4 linked regions of the Lytechinus pictus genome follow. The protein of the gene in region 1 interacts with the protein of each later gene in a biochemical or structural test. Links are inferred from orthologs where the notes say so. Each region holds a gene or a part of one and is shown on either strand. Other genes may lie near its edges. The genes, in order: exportin-1-like, ran-specific GTPase-activating protein-like, ran-binding protein 3-like and double-stranded RNA-specific adenosine deaminase-like.

Region 1 (7,352 bases):
GATGAAACATGAAGTTCTTTAAAATTCCATCATAATTTCCAGTTGATATATAATATATTCTTGAGTAGTGTGCCCCAAATGTCAGAAAAATTTCAAATATGATTTTCTTGAAAAACCTCAGCCAATCATTTTCAGATTAAAGAATCCTCAGCCAAACATTTTCAAACTGAACAAAAAAATAGAGCCAAAATTTTATAAGCACACATTCACTTTTCACATGATTCAAGGATTTTGTTGAGAATGGCTGCTTTCGACTGAAATGCCTGAAATACAATATTTTCCCATTTCTTTAGTCAGATTTTTTTTAATGAATAGGTCTAACATTAGAGTATCAGTCTACATATTCAGGGGTGTGAGTAGTCACAAATAAAAAGATCTGAAAAAAGCTGAAGAGTGATGAAAAAGTCTGAAATAGGAAGAGCTCTCATATTTTTGAACAGAAGAAAGCCAAAAATAAGCTGAAAAAAAAAAATCTGATATCAGCTAAAAAACTTTTGGTTGTCTATTTCAATCCTTATCAAAATAACAGCAAATCCAACTCCAAGCGAAGCAATGTCTGACTGGGAACTTGAATGATGTCGAGATCGAAGCCGAAATACAGCCGTTCCTGATTGCGATGTTCGGAAAAGTGGTGGGTAGTCTATCTTGGCCTTGAAATATGATTGAGACTTGCTATTAACTTTTGCAAACAACCATTGGTGGGGAAATTCTCTCGAAATCGGCTGGTGCGAAACTGCAAATTAGTACCTTGGCTTTAATTTTAATTAAGCTCAAATGCAGACATGCCTTCCCCTTCCCCCCAAAAAAACAACATAACCCCTGACCTTGAAGGCCTAGCCTAAAAACTCAGAAAACATCCCCCCCTTTTTAGTTTTATGATGGGGGGACCTAAAGCTAAGCACTTTGTTTTCAAACGATAAAAACAGGGGCCGCGGAAGCGGGGGGCTTCAGCCCCCCCCCCCCCACTTTTTTCCAAAACCGTGTACAAAAACGTAAAAATTACCATATGATTGTGATTTTTTTGCATGGTCAGCCCCCCCACTTCGAAAACCGTTCCGTGGCCCCTGAAAAACTATGCCAATTTTAATTATTGAACAAATTATCTTTCACTAATTTGTGGCAAATATAAATCATTAGCCAAAAAGAAAATATTGCAAAACTCACGTAATACGTAAATTCCAGTGTTTTTTTAACACCTCTTGATTCCGATGTCGAAGGGGTCCTAAAGCTACGCACTCGATTTATCATGCAAAAAATAGCATTTTTCCTGTGCCTCAATTTCTAAAATATGTTCACATTATTATAGGATAAAATGAAATTAAAGCGAATATAACTCCAAAATTCCAAACAGTTGTGACTTGTGGGTTTTCGCTGCATTTTAATTAGAGATTTACTGCAGCTTCTGTAGTAACAATTGAATAGGAATCGAATCGTTCGTCACTGGCCACACACAGAGTGCACATTTGCCATTAAAAACTGCATGCGCGATGAGTGGTGCGTAGCTTTAGGACCCGCGTAGCATCAATTAAGTTAGGTCCCCTTACCATACATTTAAAAAACTCAGATTTCAAAATCAAAATGAATCATATTTTTCTGATTAACAAAATTATGTTAAAATGGTAAACTGTGCAAATTCAGAATTTCAGGTCTTGATCTGGACCTAGAATAGATCTACATCTACTGATCTAGACCAAAAGCTTCGGTCTCTGTTATTGTTCCGCTGAACTCCGTTGGCTCCACTCACCAAAATACAGAGACCGAAGTTCTAGCTCGATCTGTACAGGGGACTCAATGGCCGTATCAAGTTCGGATAAAACAGGGAAGTGAAGTTGCGCGACAGCCGAAGTAAGTCACTGTTTTTTCCCCTTTTAAGTTTATTTTTCCCCGTTTTGGTGCATTTCACTTTTCAGGCCAAAACGGAATAGGAATCATGATAATAATCTTTCTTTTTTTTGGTACAGTTCTCTTTAAATATTTTTATGAAATAAAGACAAAAATCGAAGAGCCCCGACGGGGGAATTTGCATTTTAAGTCCCCTACCCTAATGAGTAATGGTGGCTGCACGATAGCGAGCCGTCTGTGTACGAGGAGAAATTTAAAAAATTTGAAATTTAAAAATCAATAAAGAACTCCTCGAAACAGACGGCTGCCAGCTGTCTCTACAATTTTTACAATTTTTTTACAATCATAACCACCCGGCACCCCGGCCTTTACTAGTTTTCATCGGGTCCAGGCCCTAGGCCTAGCATAGTACTTCATCAGCTAGCAACAAGCAGCATGGCCCCAGGCTTAATTAAAATGAGCACCACCGTCGAAGGGGCGGCGCCGAAGCTCCTTGGGCTTGGGTTAGCTGAGTGAGAGCTCAGCTGATCGCTGATTCGAACGATGCCAGCTGGAGCTGGCTCGCTGGGCTGTACACTCACTCGGCAAGACCCTAGCATGCATGGACCAATGAGAATGCGGCCTCTCTGCTTTACTTACTTGCTATGATAGCTCTCCGCTGCTGGCCGTCGTCCGCCGAGACGAGTACAGAACCCACGTGAACTATCTGCTCTGTAAATTGCTAACCTGGATACCACACGACGCTTACATTAAAGCATTCGTGAATCAAGCTTTCATTTCATTAATTGTCTATATTATCTGGCAATTCGAGGATGTTTCAGCCATTTAAAATTAAGATATTTCAGAGTAAATCCAGCTTCGATCTCCATCCGACGAATTCGGCGTCTCGAGTGATGGAAATTTTTGGCGAATAAAAACCGGTCAAAACCAGTTCGGCGCAGCAGCAGCTAGCTGTCGTATACGCGAGTAGTATCTCTGCACACTGCGAAAATCATATCCATCAAAATATTCAGTGATACATTATCACACTTATAATTCACAATCATATAATGAACTGAAGATACAAATTGTTTAATGTTTATGTGCAGTAATGAGCTTCTTAATCAACACGATGTAATGTGGAGCGAAGGGTCAAGTTTGTTATTTCGCATTACATATTTGGAAGAGCAGAGAGGAATATATATATTCGCGGGCGCTTTTCGAGTTGCGATATATACAGATAGAGCGAGGTAGAGGGCGCAGCTTCAGAATTCACATGCAAAACAGTATACAGTTCTAAAATATGATTGGTTGACAGCTGGGTACCATGCCCGTTACCTGTTTATTGTTATCATTATGTTAAATTTGTATATGGTTGTATTATATTGGTCGCTCAATGATGGAGTATTTCGGGCTGAAATAATGATACCCAAACAAGCAGAGTAAAAATTCACTAACCACAACGCTTCTCTATTACAAAACAACAAAGTTGAATTTCAAAGTTTAGCAATACTGTATATTAGGCCTATTGTGAAATAAGACCATGCCCCATGGGGCCCCCATATGCAAATAATCGAACATGCAAGATAGTGCCAATGCTTTCCTTTTTCGTATAATGCTATTCACATTTTCATATAGTGTACTCGAATTGTCTCCCTTGTATCATGATCAGTTGCAGCAATAATTTTCTTTAATATTAATTCAGTTTAGTCAATCTTACCGTACCCTGCGGAGGAGAAATTATTTAATCAAATACTAAAGATTAAGTGGGGATATGACACCGATCAGCTTGCTCATTGCACTAGCCTAGTCGATCTGCCGAGACGCCAAAGTCTTAGCTCTATCATGTCCAAACACAGGGGCGGAAATCTCTCCCAAAAGGTAGGGGGGACACAGGGGCGGATCCAACCTTCGCCAATAGGGGGGGGGGGCGGCGGAAATTTGTTTCAGCCATAATTTCCCCGATTTTTTTTTTTTGAAGGGGTAGTCCTCATTAGTCACTTCTTAGCTTTATTCTTATAAATTTATATGTAATATCATAATCCTTATTTATATTATGCGAGCGCGAAGCGCAAGCAATTTTTTGATTTTTTTTTTTGTATTTTTTCCTAAAATTTGAACATTCTGGGCAATGTTTGTTATCCTGAAAAATGATGTGTACGCAACTTAATAATTACTACGAACGCAAAGCGCGAGTACATGCAAATGAACTGATGGAAAAAATACCTGTTAAAGTAGCATTTAACTATCAAATAATGCGAGCGCGAAGCGTGAGCAATTTTTTGTTGACTTTTTCACCTAAAGAATGGAAATTCTAAGCACTTTTTGTAACTCAAGCAGAATAGGTAATTAAGTAAACAATTGATGAAAGAAAATTTTTATATACGTTTTGAACTGGTACCTGTTGAAAAGGTAACTGTTAAGGACTGCTTGCACTTAGCCATGAAGGCGTTACATATTTCAACAATAGAAAACTGCGAATGCGAAGCGCGAGCTGAAAATTTTTGAACTTTCTAGAGAAAGAATGGAAAATTTTAATCATTTTTGTAATCGTGAACAGGATAGCTATATAATTTAATAATTGATGAGAGCGGGAAGTGCGAGCAGAAAAAAAATCGAGATTTAGACCTAAAAATGGGCCACTCTGTTCATGTTTTGTAAATCATGAAAAGGATGAGTAATATGGGGTCTTCCTATACAATAATGCGAGCACGGCGAGCAGAACAATTTTGATATTGCGATCTGAAACTGGATAATGATTTAAATAGAGAACAAGTTGAGTATCTGAATTAACATGTGCGCGCGTGTTTCATATTTAGACCTAGAATCTATAGGCATTCTATATACATCTTTAATCATGAAAATCATGAAACTTTGATATTCCGATCTGAAAAAAGAGTCAATTTCAGCTTTATATTTCAAGCACTTTGTAGAAGCACTTTGTGGATATGGATCGCACTTAAAAAAGAGCTGATATTTTCATTATTATTACTCTGAGCTTTGACATAGGACCGGGACATCCTTACGACATGTCATCATATGAAAATGATGACTATCTTCCTATTCCTCTTGCTAAGCGAGATGAAACAAAAGGGACAATTTGATTATTCAATTAATATCATATTTATTAATGCCTAATAAGCACTGACGTAAATCCGTGTTGATGGGTGGGGGGGATGACTGAAATATTTTGGCTTTTTTTTTTTTGCAATCATGTTTTTAGATATGCAAGGAATTGTCATTGATATGTCCACACTGACAGTGGAGTACCGTGGGTCACGGTATTGGGGGGGGGGGGGGGGGCACCAGCAAAATTTTTGAATGACTGAGTGAGTGACCTAATAGAGACATTTTAAGGACAATGTCATTAAACGGATATGTATCTCACTGATCAAATGATGAGAGCGCGAAGCGCGAGCTGAAATTTTTTTATATTCAGATCAGAAGAAGTTACATTTTAAGGACCGATTTTAGGAATTCATGAAGAGCAGACATATCTCACCAATCCACTAATGCGAACGTAATCACGGACAGGAAATGTTTCATATATACGAAGACCTTAACATGGGGCAATCACTTTTGAGTCATGAAAATGAAGCATATGTCACTACATAAAACAATGATAACTCAAGTGCTAGGAAATATATTTGGTTTATATTGACTTGAAAACGGGATGTTTTAGTACAACAGGATTATATATCTCGTTAAACAGACAATGCGAGCACCAGGAACAATGAAGACGTAGGCCCTGGGCAAATTATGTTTCATAAAGTTATGATAAAAATGTTTCTTATGTAATGTAACTTAACATAATTATAATATAACATTATAATGAATAATATTTTCTTCTTTCCCACTACTTTTCTCTTCCTTTCTCCCTCTTTTCTCCTTTCCCCCCTTTCCCCGTTTTTTTTTGGTCAGCCGATGTGGGGGGGGGGGGGTGTGCCCCCCATGTCCCCCGTAGTTACGCCACTGTATGTCCATATGGCAAATACCCCTCCGATATTATTATCTTTTTTACCCCATGATGGTTTAATGGTTTTATTAGAGATTACATTTTAAAAAATTTTGACATTCTATCTTAATCCCTTCCCAAAGACCCCAACATTGATGAATTGGAAGAAACGGGGGTTTCTCTTCAATGTTATAATAAGGACATAAGTATTTTGTTTGGAAATGGTGAACTGGCTCTTTATTTGCATTTTATGATTCAATAATATTATTTTATTTGATAAGCGGTATTTTTGGAAGAATTTTCACCAATAAAACAATTATCTCTTGTGATTTTTTTTTTCATTTCTTTCGTAAAAAGTGGGGGGATGTTTGTACAGGCCACCCCCCCCCCTCCTGCTAATAAGGGCGCGAAATCTGATATTATGGCATAAAAACTGGACATTTTACTTTTGTAATTATGAATAGGATGCATCAGTTTATATATTTTTAACCATTAATGCGAGCGCAAATCGCGAGCTAAAATTTTTGATAAACTGTCATGAAAAGGGGATTTTATGTAGTTTGTTGTACAATCAATATTGAAACATATATAACTCGCCAATCAAAATGCGAGCGTGCAGCGCGCTAGCTGATATTTTTACGTCTCAACAATCAGACCTGAAAAGGGATATTTTGAAAACTTCATGAAAAATAATAGGTACCTGAAAAATCATAATTTGCGAGCACGCAGCGCAAGCAGCAAATGTTCATATTCAGACCATAAAACTGACATTTTTACAGAGCACTTTTTAAAAATCAATTTGTAAATCACACAAAATAATGAAGTTCGATTTCCGAGGTGAAATATGTTTTGTATATTGACTTCTAAACTTGACATTCGAGCTCCATATTGAACAAGATATGTAAGTCATCTAACAGGCAATGCGAGCGCGAAGCGCGAGCGAAAATTTTATATAGTGGCACGAAAGATTATTTTTATTTTCCAAGTCTTCCTCTCATTTTATTTTATGCACTCGTCGTCCTTCTTTTCTTTTTCTCCTCTCTTTTCCCTCTATTCCTTCTTTCTTTCCCTTTTTTTCTTTTTTTTGCTCCGCCAAGAGGGGGGGGGGGGGGGGTGGACCCCTCGGCCCCCTGGTCCGCCTACGGGGACAAGGGGCGGGAAAATTTGACAAGCAAAAAAAGGTTATCATCCCAAAAGTAAGGTCATCTCGTCCCAAAATACATGTTTTATTTCGCTTTAGAATGATGTATTTCTTACCATCATAAAAAACCAAAAATAGTAGGGGGACATTTGATATTGTGTCCCCCCTACTATTTTGAGTAGGGGGGACACGTCTCCCCTGTCCCCCTGGGATTTCCGCCCATGTCCAAACATGATATGAAGGCCTGGATTGAAGGTTTTAAGGCACTTCTATAGCAACAAGATTTTAAAGACCGAGTTACTAATTTTAGTGGTCTTGAAATATTTGAAATTAGCATCAGTACGTCAAGTCGTCAACCGATATGACACTGAGAATAATGCCCGGGGAATAATGCTTAAAGGACTAGTCCACCCCAACAAAAAGTGGATTTGAATA
Region 2 (6,913 bases), on another chromosome or scaffold:
CGTGAACTTTGAAAGGTCGTATTACCGACGGAGCTCACTGCGCTACTCTCTTACCCCCTTTATAATGATATAAATCTTCTCTTCAACCTCGTGGTGATAGCGGACCCCGCCGTGAACTTCAAATTGATTTGAAAACGCTAGCTACCCAAAACATTTTAATAACATATTTCAAATCATCGTGCGTGCTTGCGTCTTCTACTTCATTTTAATTGCACTTGCGACTTTAAGATGATGCGTCGTAAGAGATCATTCCAATAATTCTAAATCGCTAGCACCTAAAAATACTTCTAAAAGATGTCCCGCCGATCGTTCATTAACCTGTGATCTATGAGAAATATTTTCATTTTATTTTCCTTTGCGCCTTTGCTCGGAAGATGCGTCTTTCGTTTATCTTTCTAATAAAAATCACTCGGTTTATTTTAAAGCTATAACACCTCAAAACCCCTGGCTTTAAAACATGTTCCAAACGATCGCGCATGTTGGCGACTTCCATTCCAATGCATTCGTCTTTGTGACTTTGTCAGGAAGATGCGCGCGACCGCGAACAACATTTTGATGTATTCCTTTGTTTTTAAACATACCGATTCGATTTTCGATTCGATTTCGATTTTAGAAGCTTAACTGCCGATCCGATTTTCGATCTGATTTTTGATCCGATTTACAACATTATTTTTAACCTCGTGGTGATAGCGGATGCCGCCGTGAATTTTGAAAGGTCGTATTACCGACGGAGCTCACTGCGCTACTCTCTTACCCCCTTTATGATGATAGACATCTTCTCTTCAACCTCGTGGTGATAGCGGACCCCGCCGTGAACTTCAAATTGATTTGAAAACGCTAGCTACCCAAAACATTTTAATAACATATTTCAAATCATCTTGCGTGCTTGCGTCTTCTACTTCATTTTAATTGCACTTGCGACTTTAAGATGATGCGTCGTAAGAGATCATTCCAATAATTCTAAATCGCTAGCACCTAAAAATACTTCTAAAAGATGTCCCGCCGATCGTTCATTAACCTGTGATCTATGATGAATATTTTCATTTTATTTTCCTTTGCGCCTTTGCTCGGAAGATGCGTCTTTCGTTTATCTTTCTAATAAAAATCACTCGGTTTATTTTAAAGCAATAACACCTCAAAACCCCTGGCTTTAAAACATGTTCCAAACGATCGCGCATGTTGGCGACTTCCATTCCAATGCATTCGTCTTTGTGACTTTGTCAGGAAGATGCGCGCGACCGCGAACAACATTTTGATGTATTCCTTTGTTTTTAAACATCGCCGATTCGATTTTCGATTCGATTTCGATTTTAGAAGCTTAACTGCCGATCCGATTTTCGATCTGATTTTTGATCCGATTTACAACATTACTGTTAACCTCAGATTCTAAACATAACTAGCAGTTTGGCGCATTTTTATAGTTGCCTTTTTCTTTGGCAGTAGAGGCGCACGGCCAATATGGGAGACTCTCTCCAATAGGGGAGACAATCTCCCACATTGGAGACTTGCTTTGCAAAAGGACAAAAGAAACAACACCAACAAAAGCATGATTTTTTCCACCCAAAATTTTGTCTCACTGAGGTCAGAAGCCCATTTGTTTTGTGTGTGATTGACAACAAAAATCCTTATCAAAACAAAAGTAGACGGTGAATTTTTAAAGTAGACTGTGAAAAGGGGTAATTTTTCATGAGGAATCTGCTTATCATATTTTTATTTGCCGCCAAGTTAATCCTTTTGCAGCAAATGTAAACAAAGGAAATTGGACTCCAAAACTGGAGACTGTCTCTGAAATTGGATACCCAAATTCTTTACAAAAGTCTCTGATATTGGAGATAATCTCCCATTTTGGAGACAGTCTCCAATATTGGCCGTGCGCCTCTACTAGTACTGTTTGGTGCATGGGAGCCTATGTACAAACGCCAGGCGTTCGGGGAGCTCGGGAGTGACCATACATGAGTGATAGAGTATTATTACTTTTACTCCCCAAGACGCCTCCAGGCTACGTCTGTGTACGAGGAGAAATTTTAAAAAATTTAAAATGTTAAAAAATCTCCTCGAAACAGACGGCTGACATGTCCCCATAACTGATATTTTGAGAAAAATTGAAGATGTAAGTTAGGCCCAGATTTTGGTGGGACAAGGGCACCAAAGTCCAAAGGGTTCATTACATGCAGCCGCGCACAAAAAAATCAAGCCATAGAACTAGAAGTCGTGTGTTGTGGACACCAGGTCCAGGCAGAAGTGAGATCCCAGCACGCGCGACCCACTAGTTAGAATTTAGAAATCCACTGCCAAACGCGGTTCATGGTGCGAGGTTAGTATACTACTAACCTTGCAATACGCGTGAGTGGGACAAGGGTGGAAAAATATAAATAAATTAAATATTTTGATTTAGGCCTAAATAATTAGGCCCTAGCCCTAGGCCTAATTTGTACGAAATAGTGTAGTTGATCTGTCCTGTCGATTGACAGGAATGACAGATCACCTAAATATTCTATTTCAATTTCTTCACTCATGTCTGTGGACAAGCCGATATAATAAATCTCTTTTCCATAATAAGTTAGTTAGATGCTCATCTAATGTTAGGAGCTAACGTTAGTCATGTTAGGCTCACTCAGTTATGACGGCTACAGACAGTACAGCTGCACGAAGGACTCATTCAGTTCACGCAACACAACATGTGAAAATCTATGCGGTTTACGGATAAGAAATGTCGAATCGTGACAAAGTTCATTTGAAAATCACATCTTACACATTAAGACACATTCTAACAAATCAAAAACTCACATCTGCCATTTCGTTAGGTGGATGTCGGCGGATGCACAAAGAATCGGACAGTTATACGAATGAATGAAATTTTGCAATTTAGGTATTTACGTACGATGAACGTATTTTGTGCAATAGAAATAAATAATAGACAGTAATTCCGGAACCATACCCTATATCCTAACGAGTTCAGTATGAGAATCACGAGTTACTGTCTATTATGAATTATACAGCGCATTCATCCCACCCCAGCTAAAGCGCGCGCTGGTCAAAGGGATGGTCCGGGCTGAAGACATTTATATTAAAATAAATAAAGTAAAATTCACAGAGCAAAATACTGAAATTTTCGTCAAAACGGATAACAAATAACATAGTTATTGCATTTTAAAGTTTATCAATATTTTGTGAAAACAGGGATATGCACATCGTCATGAAAATTCATTAGGTGGGCTGATGATGTCACATTTCCACTTTCCCTAATTTTATTATGTTATTACATGAAATCATAAATGTTTCATTTTTTCATACGAGTACATGATGCGTCTCCATTATGATGAAATAAGTTGCGGCAATAAATAACTAATAATGCACTTAATCAGTTGTCGATCCAATTGTTTTAGTTCTTGGTAGAATCTTTGAATAAACCTTGCTTCATACAATCAAATAAGAACAAGCTAGTGGACAGTGGCGTAACAGCCCCCCCCCCCCCCCCCCCCGCCCTGCCACCTGGCGGATTTCACCGGGAAAATAAAAAACGGGGAAAAAGAGAAAAGGGAGGGAGAAAAAAAAAGAGAAAGGGGAAGGAAAGGGGAATTAAAAAGGAAAGAAGGAAAAGGAAAGGGAAAAGTGAAAAGAAAACGAAGAATTTTTTAATGGAAAAGGATGGAAAGCGGGAAAAGGAACGAAAGAAGAGCATTTGAGAAAGAACAAATCATTCCGAAATAGGCCTATGTAATGCAATAGCATGATGGGAAATAAACTAAAATATGACAAAATGGCAAACAATAGCAGGAAATGAAGGTTGAATGGATCTTAGTCAAAAGCTAAATTGAAAAACAAAGAAAAGGGACAAGAAAATAAAGAGCGGGAAGAAAGATGGAGAGCATTCAACATTGTGCTATAAGCTTGATAAATTTTATGCAAATAAGCTACCGGGCCGGCTTTTAGGGGCTCTTCATCTATAACCTTTAAATGGCTCTAGGCGCCCCTGTAATAGGGACCCTTCCTACATTTAGCTTTACGTTCAATCACTGGCGTACAGGCGGGGGGGGGGGGGTCTTGGTTCCACACCCAAGAGGAAATAAAAGAAATTATAGGAGATAAAATGAAATGAATGGAAACAATAAAATGTGTTATTTGCTGAATATAATGGAAAAATCTATCACATAATTAGAATTTGATAGGCAATTTTTTTTCCAGCTCGCTTTACTTGCTGGCGATTTTTTAAAAACAAATTTCCCACATTGCTAGCTGTTTTGCCCCCTCAAAATATTTGGTTCATTACGCAACTGGGTTGAATAAATGTGTTGTGTAAAAGCTATATTCTGCATTTATCCGAGATTTGATTAAAAATAGCGGCGATCTGCGAGTGTTTAATGGCATTGATATCAAAAAGTTCCGGGGGCCCCATCCCAGACCCCAACCGCATAGGACTTCTGTATATGAGTATGGAAGGGTTGGGCCATATGGCCCCAAAAAATCTACAACTAAGAACAAAAAAAAAGAGGAAAGAAAAGCAAAGGAAGAGTGTAGGATATGATTTATTTGCTGAATATAATGTCAACAAAAATATCTCAAAGTTACTAGATTCTAATAAAAAGGTGATTTTTTTTCTCGGTCGCTTTGCTCGCTCGGGACTTGTATCAAGCAGCTTTTTAGCACATGCACCATACTGCGCCCTTCGTTTTTTTTTTACTCTTCACGCTACTGCCGCAAAGAATCCTGCTCACAGTGGCGAACAGACCACAAAAAAGGAATGGAAAGAGAGAAGAGTGATATCATTTTCTGGATATCATGTCAAAATCTATCACAAAATTGGATTTTTGTATTAAAAATGTCAGATATTTTGCTCGCTCGCAACTTTTTTTTAAAAGATAAATTCTGCCCGATATGCAATATCTGGCCCTCTCAAAATCGTCGCCTCATTAACACCTGTTCATACCATATGACCGGGAAATTTTTTGCTCTTGCCCCCCCTGACCACCGACCCCTGCACGAAAAAAAACGGAGAGCCACACCGATCGAGCTGAAATTACCAAATATCCTGTTTCGTGTCGCCTCAAATATTTATGAAAAAAACCCTGACAAATAGGCCTACTGATGAACAAAAAGAAATTGCTGCCGGGGGTGATATAAATAGACATCGGGACTTGCGTCTAGGGCAGTGGCTCCAGAGACTGATTTGCAGACTGCGGGGCGCCAGTCCTTTCATTTTTATCACACTTTATTTTCAGACCCACCTCTATAATCATGGACCTAATAAAGACAAGTAAAAGTGGCATAACATTGAAAATTTAATCAAGATCGGATGGAAAATAAGATAGATGTGACATTATAAAACTTTACTTTCAGAAAAGTAAATGGGTTATAGGTCTACGCAAATGCGAGAGCAATGATGTAACTATAGCTTACAATTTTCATACTATTTTTGTTGAGAATGATAAAGAAGTTCTTGATTTTAGCTTAATATTTACAATGACGACTCTACTCTTCAAAGTGAATTTCTACCTCATTTTTAAATCAGAGGAGAGAAAAACTTCTTATTTTTACCATCTCAACCCATTTTCTTATTCATTTAACTCAGTATCTCCTTATCTCTCTCACCTGTCATTCTCCTCTATTTTCCTTCCTCCTCAGTGTTACAACCCCCCCCCCCCTTGCCTCAAATCTCCTTCCTCCTCTCACCATCACCACTCTTCCTTCTTCTATTTTGTTATTTTACACCCCCCTTTTCCCCTCTCTCTCTCAGTCTCTCTTCCTGGCCACCCTCTTCCTTATGATCTTCCTCGACTTCATCTTTGAATATCACTCCCCTGTTTAAAAGTGTTTAAAATCTTACACAACAAAGTTCAATTTTTAATATGTAATTCTCAATAAATAAAGCATGGTTGTTTATACTGTTAAACACCTATTGTAGGCCTACGGTTCATATAGTAAACAACGTTGCATAACATTTTTTACACCATTTTGATAAACTCATCATAGTTGTAAGTTTTCACAGCTCCCTTCCATCTCATTAAGTTTACCAGTTTACAAGTCAATTCTAGCAAATATAAATTTTCTAGTAACATTATAAAGTTCATCACATTTTGACAACTGTGATTCTCCAGGGACTAAAATTAAGTTTACAGGGGAGAGTGATCACTCGCTACTGCTTGCCTTAAACCATTTCAGGTAGAGCGATTTATTGCTCACCTCAGCGAATTTTTTTTTTTTTTGTGATATGAAATGATAAATGCAGAAAAATTTGAAAACAGGCAACATCATACACAATTAAAAATTGTTTCTACATTTTATTTCCATATGACTCTGTTCTGACATCACTTAGCCTGAAAATAGAATAAGAGTGTCAGTCAATGATTGAACTGTTAAGAGCCAAGCTTGAAAACCTCATTCTAAGTCAAATTAGAAGACATACAAAAAGGCAATAACACACATTGCAAAAATGACAACAAAAAGTTCATTGAGATCAATGTTGCCTATACATCTGATTGTTTGTTTCCTAAGTTGTGGTTTGCAACTAAGTGTATGTTCCTCCATCCACTTTTTAATTTCAGACAAAAAAAATCCCCTTGTTAGTCAAAGAAGAGCTTTTTGCAGTGCTCCTCTACCGCTCCCCTTAAAACTTTTAGAAGAGCTTTTTATTGCTCCCCTCATAATTATAAAACTGAGACCCTGATTCTCTTAATTATTTTTCATCAATTTCACTTACAAAAGGTGTATTCAACAGAAATTTCTAAGAAATATTTCAATAAAAAAATAAATCAAATACATAGGCCTCATCAACAACATGAAGAATTCAGGAGAGCATTTCATCAACATTTATCAGACAAATATCCTTGATTTTGATTGGCTGAGAAACACACTTTGTCAGATAAAACATCTGACAAGTCCTTTCATGTAACACTCCACTAGTCTCAAACTGTAA
Region 3 (7,362 bases), on another chromosome or scaffold:
ATGCACTGCCCCTTTGGCTTTGCCTTGAAGCCTTGGCTAGCTTGTTTGGCATGTAAATACAACTCCCAGATGCAAAGCCCCATGAACCAACTTGATGGCTATTTTTGCTCACCCATTTCTAATAATCAATTTCTATTCTAATTCTTTTTTTTTTACAATCTAGCAGTTAACACCCACTCACACGTACTGCGAGGTTAGTATGAGTATACTAACCTCGCACCATGAACTGCGTTTGGCAGTGGATTTCTAACTAGTGGGTCGAGCGTGCTGGGATCTCACTTCTGGTGTCCACAACACACGACTTCTATGGCTTGATTTTTCTATGCGCGGCGGCGGCATGTAATGAACCCTTGGGTGGTTAACACCTACCTCAGGCGATGTTCGTGTAGGCTCCACTCCACTTCTCTACCGCTACACTGCGCTCCACCTACCCGAACATCGGGACAGTAAACTCGATCGGATATTCCGAGTCACAAAGGTGGGATGGCAATCATGGTTATCGTAAAAATTAAAGAAAAATAATATAACGAGGGATAAGAATGACTTAATATCTTACTCTACACCCGTATTTCACTCCGTGTCCATCCTCCGGTCACTCACACTAATACGAGGTTACTAACCTCGTACAAGGGACCGTGTTTGACCCTGGATTTCGAAGTAGTCGGCAAACATCGCTTCATTGCTGAAGTAATATTTGCGGAAACTCCTTCTCGCTACGCATCGGGGCTCTTTCCGGTAAGTAGCAATACATGAAAAAATTATACATATGATTTGGAAATAATTTCATTACAAAAAGAGCAAATTTCGCTTACCTCGGCCTAGCAAGTGACTTCGCCCGTTGGTGGCGCTAATAAATTTCACAACCTTGATTCAGCACCTCGGTAATTTTATAACTGTGTCTAAATTCTTTGAATGCGCAATTCTTATGATTAATTTACTAATTATGGGCAACAATAAATGAAATACCTTCAAAAAAATAATTCAAGATTACTATTGGCGATGATAACACTTTTTTGCAATTAATTTAAAACGATGACTAATAAAAAAAATTGAAAAAATACACATGCCTGGAACGAAACCAGCAGTACAAGCTTTAACGAACGTCAATAATACAGTATACCAAAGTCTATACAATGAAAAGATTGGACACTTCACGGACTTCGCGTAATGCCTTGCGTCGATTTGCGTGTAAAATAGTGTAGGTGCCTAGTCTTTCCCTTGTCGTGTCTTTGATATGAATATAAATCGCACGCCCTCTTTAGGCGAAAATTGATATCCACGCTGACCAATTTTTATCTCCGTGAAATCTTCACTAAAGATCAAGAAAATATACATATTTTTTAAAAGAAACTTAAAGGAGAAGTCACAGAAAATTCTAAATGATTCGGTAAGTGTCATAGCAGAATGTGAAATACCAGATTATGCGTGATATTTTATGTGGGCAAAAGCCCAGTATATTTTGGATGTGTCGTGTGTGTCACGTGCATATGACTAATATTCCTTCGCACGCGAGATGATATGAACCCATGGTTGTCCTCCGGTTATCCTCAAAATTTGTGATTTTGGGCTAGTATCTTTTTCCTCACACGTATTATTCACGGCCGATTTCAAAACATCGCATGCGATCGGTCGCTGATCGATCGCGATCGCATGCGATGTTTTGAAATCGGCCGTGAATAATACGTGTGAGGAAAAAAGATACTGGCCCAAAATCACCAATTTTGAGGATAACCGGAGGATGGACACGGAGTGAAATACGGGTGTAGAGTAAGATATTATAAGTCATTCTTATCCCTCGTTATATTTTTTTTCTTTAATTTTTACGATAACCATGATTGCCATCCCACCTTTGTGACTCGGAATATCCGATCGAGTTTACTGTCCCGATGTTCGGGTAGGTGGAGCGTAGTGTAGCAGTAGTGAAGTGGAGTGGAGCCTGCACGAACATCGCCTGAGGTAGTTAACAAATAACACCCTGCTGACAGTGCTGTACAGTAGAGGCGCACGGCCAATATTGGAGACTGTCTCCAATGTGGGAGATTATCTCCAATATCAGAGACTTTTGTAAAGAATTTGGGTATCCAATTTCAGAGACAGTCTCCAGTTTTGGAGTCCAATTTCCTTTGTTTACATTTGCTGCAAAAGGATTAACTTGGCGGCAAATAAAAATGTGATAAGCAGATTCCTCATGAAAAATTACCCCTTTTCACCGTCTACTTTAAAAATTCACCGTCTACTTTTGTTTTGATAAGGATTTTTGTTGTCAATCACACACAAAACAAATGGGCTTCTGACCTCAGTGAGACAAAATTTAGGTGGAAAAAATCATGCTTTTGTTGGTGTTGTTTCTTTTGTCCTTTTGCAAAGCAAGTCTCCAATGTGGGAGATTGTCTCCCCTATTGGAGAGAGTCTCCAATAAGGCCATATTGGCCGTGCGCCTCTACTGCTGTAACGTAAGTTTGACGTTAGTCGTTGCATTAGAAAGTTTAATAAAAAATGTGGACACCCAATTCTAAAAAAATAAAGCCAACCACTCACACTTTATGAGGGAAGCACAACTGATGAACTGCAGCCAGTGATTTTGCATGCTAAGTATTTTATTGAATGCACATCAAGGACAACAAGGAATCGTGAAATCACCAATTCACAGGCACGAGCAAGAAACTACACATGCCAAAATCGGGATGGCCTCATCCAGAATGAATTTTCGGGCCCAAGTCAAGACTCAACAAAACACTCTCTTGCACTCAAAATGACCATTCAAATCATTGATATTAGGCAGAAACATAACTCACCAATCAGAACAGATATATTTAATCATGATTCAGACCAGACAACACACAAACACAATGACAGAGATATCAATTTGATTGTTTACACGAACCTGCTGGAGCAGTTGCAGCCGGTTGCGATTCCGCCATATTGGACTACTAGTGGTAAACGATTTGCTCTTGAAGACAAACTGCATGGAATGTGGTAAACGTTGCGTTCAATGCGCTCGATACTACCGATGTAGAGGCATGGTATATATCTTTGCAGATCTCGTCTTTGGGTTGTCTGTTCAGTTTTTAAAAAAGGAGGGAAATTCAATCAGAGGGACGGGGGTAATATTATCCGGGTTTATGAATGAATGAATGAATGAATGAATGAATGAATGATGAATGAATTATGAATACCAGAGAAAGAAAGAAAGAATTATAAAGAAAGAAAGAAAGAAAGAAAGAAAGAAAGAAAGAAAGAAAGAAAGAAAGAAAGAAAGAAAGAAAGAAAGAAAGAAAGAAAGAAAGAAAGAAAGAAAGAAAGAAAGAAAGAAAGAAAGAAAGAAAGAAAGAAAGAAAGAAAGAAAGAAAGAAAGAAAGAAAGAAAGAAAGAAAGAAAGAAAGAAAGAAAGAAAGAAAGAAAGAAAGAAAGAAAGAAAGAAAGAAAAAGGAAGGAAGGAAGGAAGAAGGGAGGAAAGAAAAGGAGGAAAGTGTATAGAAAAGGTAACATGGTAAAGAATAAAGAGAAGGGGGAAAAGGTTTTAAAAAGGGGGTAAATGTATTGTCTACAGTGTGTCTCTAAAAAAAGTAAACCCAACTTCAACGGCAAATTTTCAGAAAACTAAAAAATATTTAGACATTATTTTTTCATGGTTAGATAGTCCAATAAGTCTTCTGTCCAATTACATCACTTAGGTTATCTAACTCTCATGCATGACTGAGCATGATTCAACTTAGTGAACTGGTGTCAAATCATCACTGTGGCAAGTTATTTCTTGTTATTTTCATGCATTCAAGGCCTATTTGAAGTTAAACTCAGTGGTTCCGTGATCAGCATACTTTCTCACATTGTACCAGATGGCCCTTTTGTTGGAGGCTGCCTCTCGGGGAACTGCACCCGAAAAGCCTCTTGAACTTCCACGAAACTTCTTGTTTCCTGGTATTGAGTTACCAGGAATACTCTCTGCTCAATTGTCAACTGTACCATGTTTGGAAAGCATGTGAAGTGTGCCTGTGTGAGGAACAACCTTTGCTGCTGAAGTTGTTATGAAATTATAGGCCTAACATGTGACCAAAATTTAACTTCAAATAGGCCTTGAATGCATGACAATAGCAAGAAATAACTTGCCACAGTGATGATTTGACACCAGTTCACTAAGTTGAATCATGCTCAGTCATGCATAAGAGTTAGATAACCTAAGTGATATAATTGGACAGAGGACTTATTGGACTATCTAACCATGAAAAAATAATGTGTAAATATTTTTTAGTTTTCTGAAAATTTGCCATTGAAGTTGGGTTTACTTTTTTTAGAGACACGCTGTATAGGAGCCAGGAGGTGATCGAGGGATGCATCACTCGATTACAAACTAACAGAGCCCTCGGTGGCCTTAGGAACGGTTTAAAAATAGGGGGTACTATGGCGGGTTTCGTTTAAAAAATGACAACCCACCCCCCCCCCCCCCCCCAAAAAAAAAAATAATAATAATAATAATGATAAATAAATAAATAAATAAACAAATTATTTTCATGCCATATGTTTATTTCTGCCTTCATCGGTCCTCCGGCGAGCTCCAGTTGAGTGATGTGGGGAAGGGTGGATATTTTTAGGACGGGTTGTTTTGTCCTTTATCTAACTGTATATTTTTGATAACTTTGTATTTATTTTGTGAGTATTTCCCTCTCAGTTATTGATTTTTTTCTCATTTGATTATCTGTATTTATACTTTGCTATTTTGTTATTTTGTTATTTGTTGTGTTATCTATTTTTTTGAGGGGCCCACATTGTACAAGCATTGCTTTTTAGTGGGTCCCTCCATTTCCATCTTAATTTAATTTCTATTGAAAAATAGTATACTTATTTAAAACCTACAATGTGTTGCCAAAATTGTCTAAGTGTTTTTTTTTTTTTCACAACATATGTATCATTATTTTCTTTTTTTGCAACGTATACAAATATTTATGTTTATATATGGTATACAATTCATGTATGTACAATTGATGGAAGTGAAATAAATAAATTTGAATTTGAATTTGAATGTCACACAAAGAGCAGTGAGCAGCTGAGCTGACAGCAGCCCATTGAGTACGATATTTCCAATCATCGTTTTTTGCTCTTAGAATTGGTTATTCATCACAAGATTGGTCTTATTGTAGATAAAAGTTTGAAATTTCTGAACAGTAAAATAAAATGCACATTTTAACGTATTTTGGTAACCGATATGTATCTTAGAAAAAATCTTTTTTTTTTCAAGAAATATATGTGAATAAACAAAGCATATTTTCACTTAGAAATCACACTTGCGTCACATTGATATTATAATCAGTATAAAGCATAGACATTTAAACATACAATTCTAATTTCCAGGGTGCTGCCTATAGTAAATAACAACGTCCCTCCCCCCCCCCCCCCCCCCACCCCAGCAAAATCTTGGGGTTGCTGCAGCAACCCCAGCACCCCCGTTTCCCAGGGCTATGACATCCATCGGCTAAAATTAGGGATTTTTTTTTCTTGCTTGTCATAGTGGGCATGGGCGGAAACCCCAGGGGGGACAGGGGGGACGTGTCCCCCCTACTCAAAATAGTAGGGGGAACACAATATCAAATGTCCCCCCTACTATTTTTGGTCTTTTATGATGGTAAGAAATACATCATTCTAAATACATCATTCTAAATCGAAATAAAACATGTATTTTGGGACGAGATATGACCTTACTTTGGCGATGATAACTTTTTTTTGCTTGTCAAATTTTCCCGCCCCTTGTCCCCATAGGCGGATCCAGGGGCCGAGGGGCCCGCCCCCCCCCCCCCCCCGCTCTTGTCGGAGCAAAAAAAGAAAAAAAAGGAAAGAAAGAAGGATAAAAGGAGGGAAAAAGAGAGGAGAAAAAGAAAAGAAGGACGACGAGTGCATAAAATAAGATGAGGGGAAGACTTGGAAAATAAAAATAATCTTTCGTGCCACTATCTAAAATTTTCGCTCGCGCTTCGCGCTCGCATTGCCTGTTAGGTGATTTACATATCTTGTCAATATGGAGTTCGAATATCAAGTTTGGAAGTCAATATACAAAACATATTTCACCTCGGAAATCGAACTTTCATTATTTTGTGTAATTTACAAATTGGTTTTTAAAAAGTGCTCTGTAAAAATGTCAGTTTTATGGTCTGAATGTTAACATTTGCTGCTTGCGCTGCGCGCTCGCAAATTTTGATTTATCAGGTACCTATTGTTTTCGTGTATTCCATAAAGTTTTCAAAATATCCCTTTTCAGGTCTGATTTTCAAGACGTATCAGCTAGCGCGCTGCACGCTCGCATTCTGATTGGCGAGTTATATAAATGTTTCAATATTGATTATACAACAAACTACTTAAAATCCCCTTTTCATGACAGTTTATCAAAAAATTTAGCTCGCGATTTGCGCTCGCATTAATGGTTAAAAACATATTAACTGATGCATCCTATTCATAATCACAAAAGTGAAATGTCCAATTTTTATGCCATGATATCATCAGATTTCGCGCCCTCATAAGGCATTAATAAATATATATTATTTTAATAATTAAATTGTCCCTTTTGTTTCATCTCGCTCTTAGCAAGAGAAATAGGAAGATAGTCATCATTTTCATATGATGACATGTCGTAAGAATGTCCCGGTCCTATGTCAAAACTCAAAGTAATAATAATATCAACTCTTTTCTATAAAGTGCGATCCATATCCACCTTGCAATTTTTATACAAGGACTTGAAATATAAAGCTGAAATTGACTCTTTTTTCAGATCGGAATATCAAAGTTTCATGATTTTCATGATTAAAGTTGTATTTAGAATGCCTAGATTCTTGGTCTAAATATGAAACACGCTCGCGCATGTTTATTCAGATACTCAACTTGTTCTCTAGTTTAAATCATTATCCAATTTCAGATCACAATATCAAAAATTTTCTGCTCGCGCTTTATGCTCGCATTATTATTGTAGGAAGACCCCATATTACTCATCCTTTTGATGATTTACAATACATGAACAGATTGGCACATTTTTAGGTCTAAATCTCGAAAAAAAATTCTGCTCGCGCTTGGCGCACGCATCAATCGTTAATTTATATAGCTATCCTGTTCACGATTACAAAAACTGATTAAAATTTTCCATTCTTTCTTTAGAAAGTTCAAAATGTTTCAGCTCGAGCTTCGCGCTCGCATTTTTTTATTGTTGAAATATGTAACGCCTTCATGGCTAAATGCGAGCAGTCCTTAACAGGTACCTTTTCAACAGGTACCAGTTCAAAACGCATTATTAATACTCATCCTTAACAGGATTTACAAAACATATATAGAGTGTCTCGTTCAGTAAAAATTATATAGGACTAAATCTCGAAATTTTCCGCTCGC
Region 4 (7,463 bases), on another chromosome or scaffold:
AAGACTCAATTGCTAGGCATACTACATATACATAGGCTTTCGAATCCTATCGGGTACCCATTTAACTCCTGGGTGGAGAGTGGCAAATTGTGGATTGACGCCTTGCCAAAGGACGCTACATGTAGGCCATGGTGGGATTCAAACACATTATGATTAGCTGCTGAACCCTGTTACCAGACAAGTTGCCATTATGGCAAAGAGTTGTAACCCTTTATAACAAAATAATAATATAGGATTTGTATAGCGCACATATCCACCTTGCTAGGTGCTCAAGGCGCTCCTATATTACCCTATTATGTGACCCATCTCATTATCTCTGACAGTAAAAGTTCAAAATATCCGCTCATAGGAAATTTAAGAAATCATTCATAACTGAATGGGAATAATTTCTGAAATAGTTCATTAAATCAAATATATTCGTCTGGGGCCACAATCCCATAGCAAAGGGGTGTCGGAGGGTTCATTCGAATCTGTTAAAATTTCCAAAGCAAGAAAATCCAGGGAGGAAAACAGTTTTTTGGGGATCAAGCCAAGAGATTGGACCGTTAACCCTTTTTTTTGCTTGTCAAATTTTTCAGAAATCGATCATGCCCCTCACTGAAAACTCTAGCTACGGGGCTGGGCCATTTTTAGTGTTCCCAGACAGTAAGTGGGTCTGATATCCACACTGCTCCACAATCCCTCTCCAGTATGTAACTTGCAAATCCTACGCCCATCTTTATCCCCATGCACCCCTACCGATTTATGCTGTTACCCCTTCCAGTACTCACCTTGGATTATGCGGTGGTCCAGACTGCTGAAGAAGATCTATTGAAACCGGTAGATGCCTGGCCTGGGCATACTCCGTCAACGCACTCACAGGGTTCTTATTGATAGCAGCAAACATCTCGTTGTTGATTGCCTGACCTGTCGACGACCCGATGGCTGGTGCATTGTGGGAAGACTGTGGCTGGGGAGCTGGCGATGCTGGGATAGGGGTGCTGTTGACTTGGTTTGCAAAGGAATTCGGGGGCATGTAAGGCATGGTGGTAGCTCGGATGGGGGCAACCTGTGTAAAATGAAAGGTTTTTTTTATTCAAATGAATTTACTTTTCCTGAATTATACAGTATACCTTGTGAGCATAAGATATTTACATGTTGGATCTGAAATATTACATGTATGTTCTCCTAAAGAATAACTGACCATGATTCAATAGTTAATCGCTCATCCCATTGAATATACATTTGTGAAAACAAAAGATGGAAAGGCTGGAAATCATGCCCTAATTTGATCGCAAGTCTCTTGCAATGCACCATACCTCATACTTTAATAGATAAAACACCCAATCTTTAAGAGGAAGTACTGTAGGAATGGGCCCATTGCAGACAAAGTTGCCCTTGATATTTTTACAGTTGCATTTAGATGCAACTCTTTCTGCAACTTGCCAAGGATAGGAATGGTACATACCTGAGTAGGAATGGTTGGTGTAAAAGATACTGGGATAAAGCCAGGACCTTGTCTTCCTTGATCCCAACTCTGCAGAAGAGACCGAGGATCAGGAGGAAGCATGCCACTCTGATGGTTCGGCGCCCCCATTGGCTGTGACATGAGAACTCCGGGTGCCCCTGTCACCAGGTTGACATGGTTTGGAATCTCCATCGGTTTGGTGGCGCCGTTCATTTCTAATGGCTTTTTCTCCTTGGTGATGAGGTCGACGCCTTTCTCGTTGATGTGCCAGGTTGGAGGACTGTCCGTGACTTTAGTGATGTATCCCCGTTTGGCAAGCCCATAGAGCGAAGGATTCACATCTTTGGCCTTGCCTCTGTTGAGACCTACATTATGGACTATCTCAAGAGTTCCTTGAGTCTGTTGATTGCTCAATGCACACAAAACCTTCATCTCCATGTCCGGAGAGGCAAACATTAACGTGGCAAATTCTGGCGGTATCCCGGCATTGATTGCTGCTTGGAGATTGACTCTTTCATTATGGATGGACTGTCTGTCGTCGTTGGTATTAAGGAGTGGTTGAGGACTCTGAGGGATGTGCGGGAATGGATGTCCAGGAGTTCCCTGGAACTGCTCCATCTGTGGTCCCATGTTTACCATCTGAGGAGCAATGCCTGGCACGGGAGGACTCACCATCCCTGGAAACTGACTCGGTTTTGGTTGTGCCTGTTCTGCACTTTGCTGCTGCTGCTGATCAGTCTCGAGAATCTGTCTCCCGTACTGGGTGATGACCCACATAGGGGGAGACTCACACACTTTTCTTACAAGTCCTTTCTTTTGCATACTAAACAAAGTTGGGTTGATCTCCTTCTTGGTGCGGTAACCAAGCTGTTTGGCAAGATCATTGGAATGGATAGATTCTACTTTTTCGTTCAATGCCACCAGTAACCTGTGGTCCATGCCATTTGGCGTGTATGGCTTTGAGAAGCTTTGTTGCAGTTCGTGTGGTGGAGGTGGTGGTTTTGCAAACATGACAGGTTGCTCGGCTGTTTCTGAATCATCGCTCGAGCTGGAATTGTTGGTTGGCGAAGCCATGGGGTCAACGCCGGGCAGAGGATGTGTCCCGTTGTACCCGGAGTGATTCGGAGGGAAAAGCCGACCTGCGTCTATGGGTGTGGAATGATTAACAGGACGACCCAAAGGCTCTGCGGCAGGAACGTCACCTCCGCTCCCTTCCTCCATGACTTCCGTTTCCCCGACATCCTCTCTGTCGATCCCACCGCTGCCACCAGAAAGGGCTTCCTCCCCCGTTTCTTCCGCCTCCTGCCGATTGTCCCCATCCTCTGCGGTCGCACCATGCAGAGGGCCAACAGTCACCTCGTGTTTTAAGCCCCATTTTGGAGGTGACGCGGACACCTTCAAGATAAGGCCGTTCTTTTGCATCCGGTACAGCGTCGGGTTAACGTCCTTGCGAGAACGCCTTCCCAGCGATCGAGCCAATTCAAGAGTTTCCATGGAACCATTGCTTTCTTTTAATTTATTGAGGATGCTGTTGGCCAGTTCTGTATTTGAGCCCATTTTTCGCTTAGAAGAACCCTGTAAGACACACACAAAAAAAATGTATGAATAAATAAACAAAACCCTTATTCTCCCAAACAGTGATTAATGCTAAAGAATATATGAATCATATAGTTATCATTTAACATACATTCAAACAAAAATTAATATGCAACTATTTTTCCTACAACAGGATTTTTTAATCTAATTGGTTCTTTTTTTATTGTTCCCAAAAGTTGATACATGTTTAACGAATAAAATATTTTAACATTAAGCTTGTTGATATAAATGCATGAGTATCATATCGAATTGGCCAATCTATTTCATCATACATGAACTGTGAATAAAATAATGTTGCTGAGCCATTTCTCAGCAACGTATATATCTAAATAATACTAGGAGTCAAAACCAACTGATACATCATATAGATTTGGTACATGACTGTCAAGATGAATCACATGAATAATACATGAAATGGAAAGCATGCACTCAGAAATGAATTCAGATGTAAGTAGGAGTGTCTACTGGGCTACTGAAGAGCGTATGTATGAAACCATAATGAATACACACAAGAGTAGCTTGCCTAGAAAACACAGTGCCTGAAACATAGTGCGATAGCATCATCCCTACTTCCAATTTCTGACATGGATTAAGCTTTCATTGTTTAGAAATTAGATGTCAATGAAAATCCCTAAAATTGTTAATTCAATTTTGCCAATTTTGAGGAGATATGGAAACATCCAGTGAATGATCGCATAGACATGCTTGTGATTTCTAATGTTTGTCAGAGGGGCCATTAATAGATTTCAATTTAAAATGACCAGATTTATGTTTAAAAAAAATCATTTAATTATAGTTAAAATTACAGGAACTCTTGTCATTTTAAGAATAATCTTAAATCATTATTATAAATCAGAAATATATCAAGAGTCTCTCTGACATGATATCAAAATTTCAACAACATTTTTTAAATGTCTATAAAATATTTTTTGAGAATAAAGTCCCCAAAATATATAAATACATGCTACTACAAGCTCAGTTAGAAAAAAGAAAACAACACACAGAACTCAGATTAGGAACAAACATTTCAACAAATATTTCAAAATAAGTTAGTGATGTGATGGTGGTGGTTTAGTGAAAACAAATCAAAAAACATTTTTTGAGATATTGTTAATGACGATATGAAGTAAATGGACACTTCCTTCAGCAAACAAGTTCAAGTGAAACCAGGTCCCCATCTTACAAAGGATTATGATTGATCCAATCAATCGTAACTCTATGGAAATCCATCAGTGTCAAAATGTTTACTACATGAAATTTGCAAAATGACCTTTGTTAACAAAGGTGAACACACAAAATTGTCAAGAAAACAATGACTTTATGCAATATACAAACATCATATCTAGAAAATATTTTGAACAAAAATGGATTTCATTTTCAGATGTGGGCATTGCTGGCTTTCCATAGTTCAGGTTGATCATATCAATCGAAATTCGCAACTCTTTGGGGCCTTGGTCTACAAGAAGTCAGGCTACTTCTTAGTTTGTCTCATTTGGTCTATGATCACTTTGGTCTAGTTGCCACTTTGTCTAATAGGCCTAGTAGGCCTATTTGGGATTACTGTCAATGGCCCGTATTCTGAAGTCGGTTTAATTTATACTCATGTTTAAAGTTGTGGTTTAAGTATGGGAAGCCAAAAGTATCAAAATTTTTATTAAGATGTATGTGTCTTTTGTCTACTGTGCTCTTTCCGGATTCATCTTTGATGAAAACAATCATCTATTTATACTTCTTAGACAATTATGAATGATTTGAGAGCCAAATGAGCTGAAATATGATATCTCTACTGTTTATGATTTATGTAACAATTGGCTATCCATACTTAAACCACAACTTTAAACCTGAGTTTAATTTAAACCTGCTATCAGAATACGGGCCATTGAGTCTCATGTCCAGTTAGTCTAACTTCCACTTGGTCTACATTCTTTGCCACACTTTGTCAAATAAAAAAATGAGTTCATTACTACACAGTAAAAAAAAATCATACAACGCTGTTTACTATATGGACCTTACAGTAATTGTTTAAACAGTTTTAATAAACAAGTGTTTAAATCTTAAGCAACAAAGTTTAATTTTCAATATCTAATCTTCAATAAATTAAACATGTTTAAACGGTTAAACAAATACTGTAAGGTTCATATAGTAAACAGCGTTGTATAAAATCTTAAACAGCGTTTTTACTGTGTAATACATGTAGCTCATTATCAAAGAGACTATTAAAGTGGTGCTAGACCAGTGGGGGTGATGACACAACATGTGCTCCTGCAACAATTGCCCCAATCTTAATTATTATATCTCAAATGGCATAAGGTTAGGGTTTGGCTTGTAATAGAGTTTTGGGTTCAGAATAGTTTACCTGAAAAGAATTTGGGTGTATTGGATTTTGGAGGAATAGGTTTTATGTTTGGCTAAACATGAAGATTTTCCATCGGAGCGGTTCTCGCCAGAGCAAATGTCATGGAACCGTTAGACCATGTGAGTTTAATAGGCCTACATGTAAATGGAAATTAGGCAAAGTGTGAAACAGGCTACATGTATTAAAGTGGTAAATGGTTCATAGACAAACTGGTTGTAGATAAAATGGGAATTTAGAACATGTGGGATCAGACCAAAATAATGGAAAATGGACAAAGTGGGTTTTATGTAGGCAAAGTGCATGGCCATATACCAAGTGATGCAAAATTTTGAATGAGTGATTGAAGTGAGTAGAAGATGGCATGGGAAAGAGAGAGGCTGCATAGAGGCTTCAGTATTCTCATATTCACAATTAACAAGTGATGCAAATTTTGAATGAGTGATGGAAGTGAACAGAAGATGGCATGGGAGAGAGAGGCTGCATAGAGGCTTCAGTATTCTCATATTCACAATTAACAGAATGATGAATGCATGTACATCATGTACATGCGCACTAATCAACATCAACCCACACTCATTGGATCACTCAAGACCTTAATCTCATGTGCCATTTTCATTATAAAACACCCCATACCGCTCCAACACAAAGGACCATGGGAAGGACGCATATCTCCCCAACATCCACTCATCGCTGAGACACTGCATTGGGTTTTATTTCCTAGGGGGTCATAAACACATAGATTGAAATGGATGGGACTGAGGAAGGGACACTTGTCCTTTGGGGGCAATCATTCCAGTGACATCTGCACGAAAAGCTTGGCCAACAAAACATTGCTTGCACTGGCATGAATATTTCATCCCCTAACCAGGTGGAAATAAATAGGTCAATGCCAACTAAAATAGTGAAAGGGCGAGGCCATAAAGCAAACCATCCCTCTGGGCTTGATAAAAATGCACATAAAATTTGGATGTATAATACAATTGAAGTTGCTTAAATGCTTTGAATTTCAAGGAGATGGCATAGCAACGAAACATCCCTTGCCTGTACTAAAATGAACGTAAAGAAAAACAAAATGATCTATTTTGCTTCGAAGTTATTGAACCTTGTTCAAGAATGATAGATGTACTGAGCAATTTCAGGTTAGGCCTATACATACATGTACTGTATGTGTACATGCAGACTTGATGGCCTACTTCTCAGGGGCTGAAGTAACCAGTTAATTTAAAGTAACGCCAGTTTATTTCTATTTTCAAAGAGGCTAATTAGAAATATATACATTAATGTTCATTTGCTTTCGTTTTTCATTTTTTATTTATTCATAAATGAAGTTATTTCATATTTTATTATATTTGTTTTATTCATTTATCTATCAATATCTATCTATCTATCTATCTACATGTATCTATCTATCTATCTCTCTCTTTTATGGAGGTCGATTTATAAAAGAGTGCAAGCTAGGTCATATAGGATATATGCTTGCATCCTGTTGCCAGCAAAGCTCTCCTAAATAATGATTATGATGGCTGTCTACCTTATTTACTAGGAGTATTAGTGCACTGTACAGTTTATAGCCCATAGCATGCATGGGAGAGTTCTACAAAAAACCCACCTCCCCCCTTAAAAAAAAAACATTAAAAAAAATTGACAAAGGGGGGAAGGTGGCATAAGTGCATGAGAATACTGCAAATTTTCGACATTTCAACATACAGTAGTTTCAAATCTACTACAGATATTGATATTAGAAATGTGATCTTCCTTTCTTGAACATGCAAATTCATCGTCCAACTCCAAGGAGCTTTGCTATGCAAGACATACAATTAGGTCAATATTGCTTTTTTACCGTCACATATTTGATACCTCATAAAAGTTAGGAGATCAATCCACAGAGTAATACAGAGTTATAATCTAATTTAAAAAACAATAAATGATGTTAAAATGAACATATCATTGATCAATGCTAATATGCATTTTACTCTTCATACAAGATATGTCTCATCTATTTATCCATTTTCATGACTAACGATCAGAATAGCATAAATTGTGAATGCGTCTCCACTCTCCCGC

Evidence for each region.
Region 2: the proteins of exportin-1-like (region 1) and ran-specific GTPase-activating protein-like form a complex in vitro, tested with the Homo sapiens proteins (3 studies listed by BioGRID, with this or other methods). The link is inferred for Lytechinus pictus from reciprocal best matches to the Homo sapiens genes XPO1 and RANBP1.
Region 3: the proteins of exportin-1-like (region 1) and ran-binding protein 3-like form a complex in vitro, tested with the Homo sapiens proteins (2 studies listed by BioGRID). The link is inferred for Lytechinus pictus from reciprocal best matches to the Homo sapiens genes XPO1 and RANBP3.
Region 4: the proteins of exportin-1-like (region 1) and double-stranded RNA-specific adenosine deaminase-like form a complex in vitro, tested with the Homo sapiens proteins (2 studies listed by BioGRID, with this or other methods). The link is inferred for Lytechinus pictus from reciprocal best matches to the Homo sapiens genes XPO1 and ADAR.

What each region holds. Positions count from the first base shown.
Region 1 is NC_087251.1:44,096,814-44,104,165, reverse strand, and holds the start of exportin-1-like, read right to left. Parts: upstream 3,017-7,352; 5' UTR 2,482-3,016; intron 1-2,481. UniProt on the Homo sapiens protein: Mediates the nuclear export of cellular proteins (cargos) bearing a leucine-rich nuclear export signal (NES) and of RNAs.
Region 2 is NC_087246.1:7,323,219-7,330,131, reverse strand, and holds the start of ran-specific GTPase-activating protein-like, read right to left. Parts: upstream 3,012-6,913; 5' UTR 2,797-3,011; coding exon 2,788-2,796; intron 1-2,787. UniProt on the Homo sapiens protein: Plays a role in RAN-dependent nucleocytoplasmic transport. Alleviates the TNPO1-dependent inhibition of RAN GTPase activity and mediates the dissociation of RAN from proteins involved in transport into the nucleus.
Region 3 is NC_087255.1:28,227,761-28,235,122, forward strand, and holds the start of ran-binding protein 3-like, read right to left. Parts: upstream 3,002-7,362; 5' UTR 2,922-3,001; coding exon 2,885-2,921; intron 1-2,884. UniProt on the Homo sapiens protein: Acts as a cofactor for XPO1/CRM1-mediated nuclear export, perhaps as export complex scaffolding protein. Bound to XPO1/CRM1, stabilizes the XPO1/CRM1-cargo interaction. In the absence of Ran-bound GTP prevents binding of XPO1/CRM1 to the nuclear pore complex.
Region 4 is NC_087250.1:3,399,712-3,407,174, forward strand, and holds the start of double-stranded RNA-specific adenosine deaminase-like, read right to left. Parts: upstream 3,021-7,463; 5' UTR 3,005-3,020; coding exon 1,448-3,004; intron 1,049-1,447; coding exon 771-1,048; intron 1-770. UniProt on the Homo sapiens protein: Catalyzes the hydrolytic deamination of adenosine to inosine in double-stranded RNA (dsRNA) referred to as A-to-I RNA editing.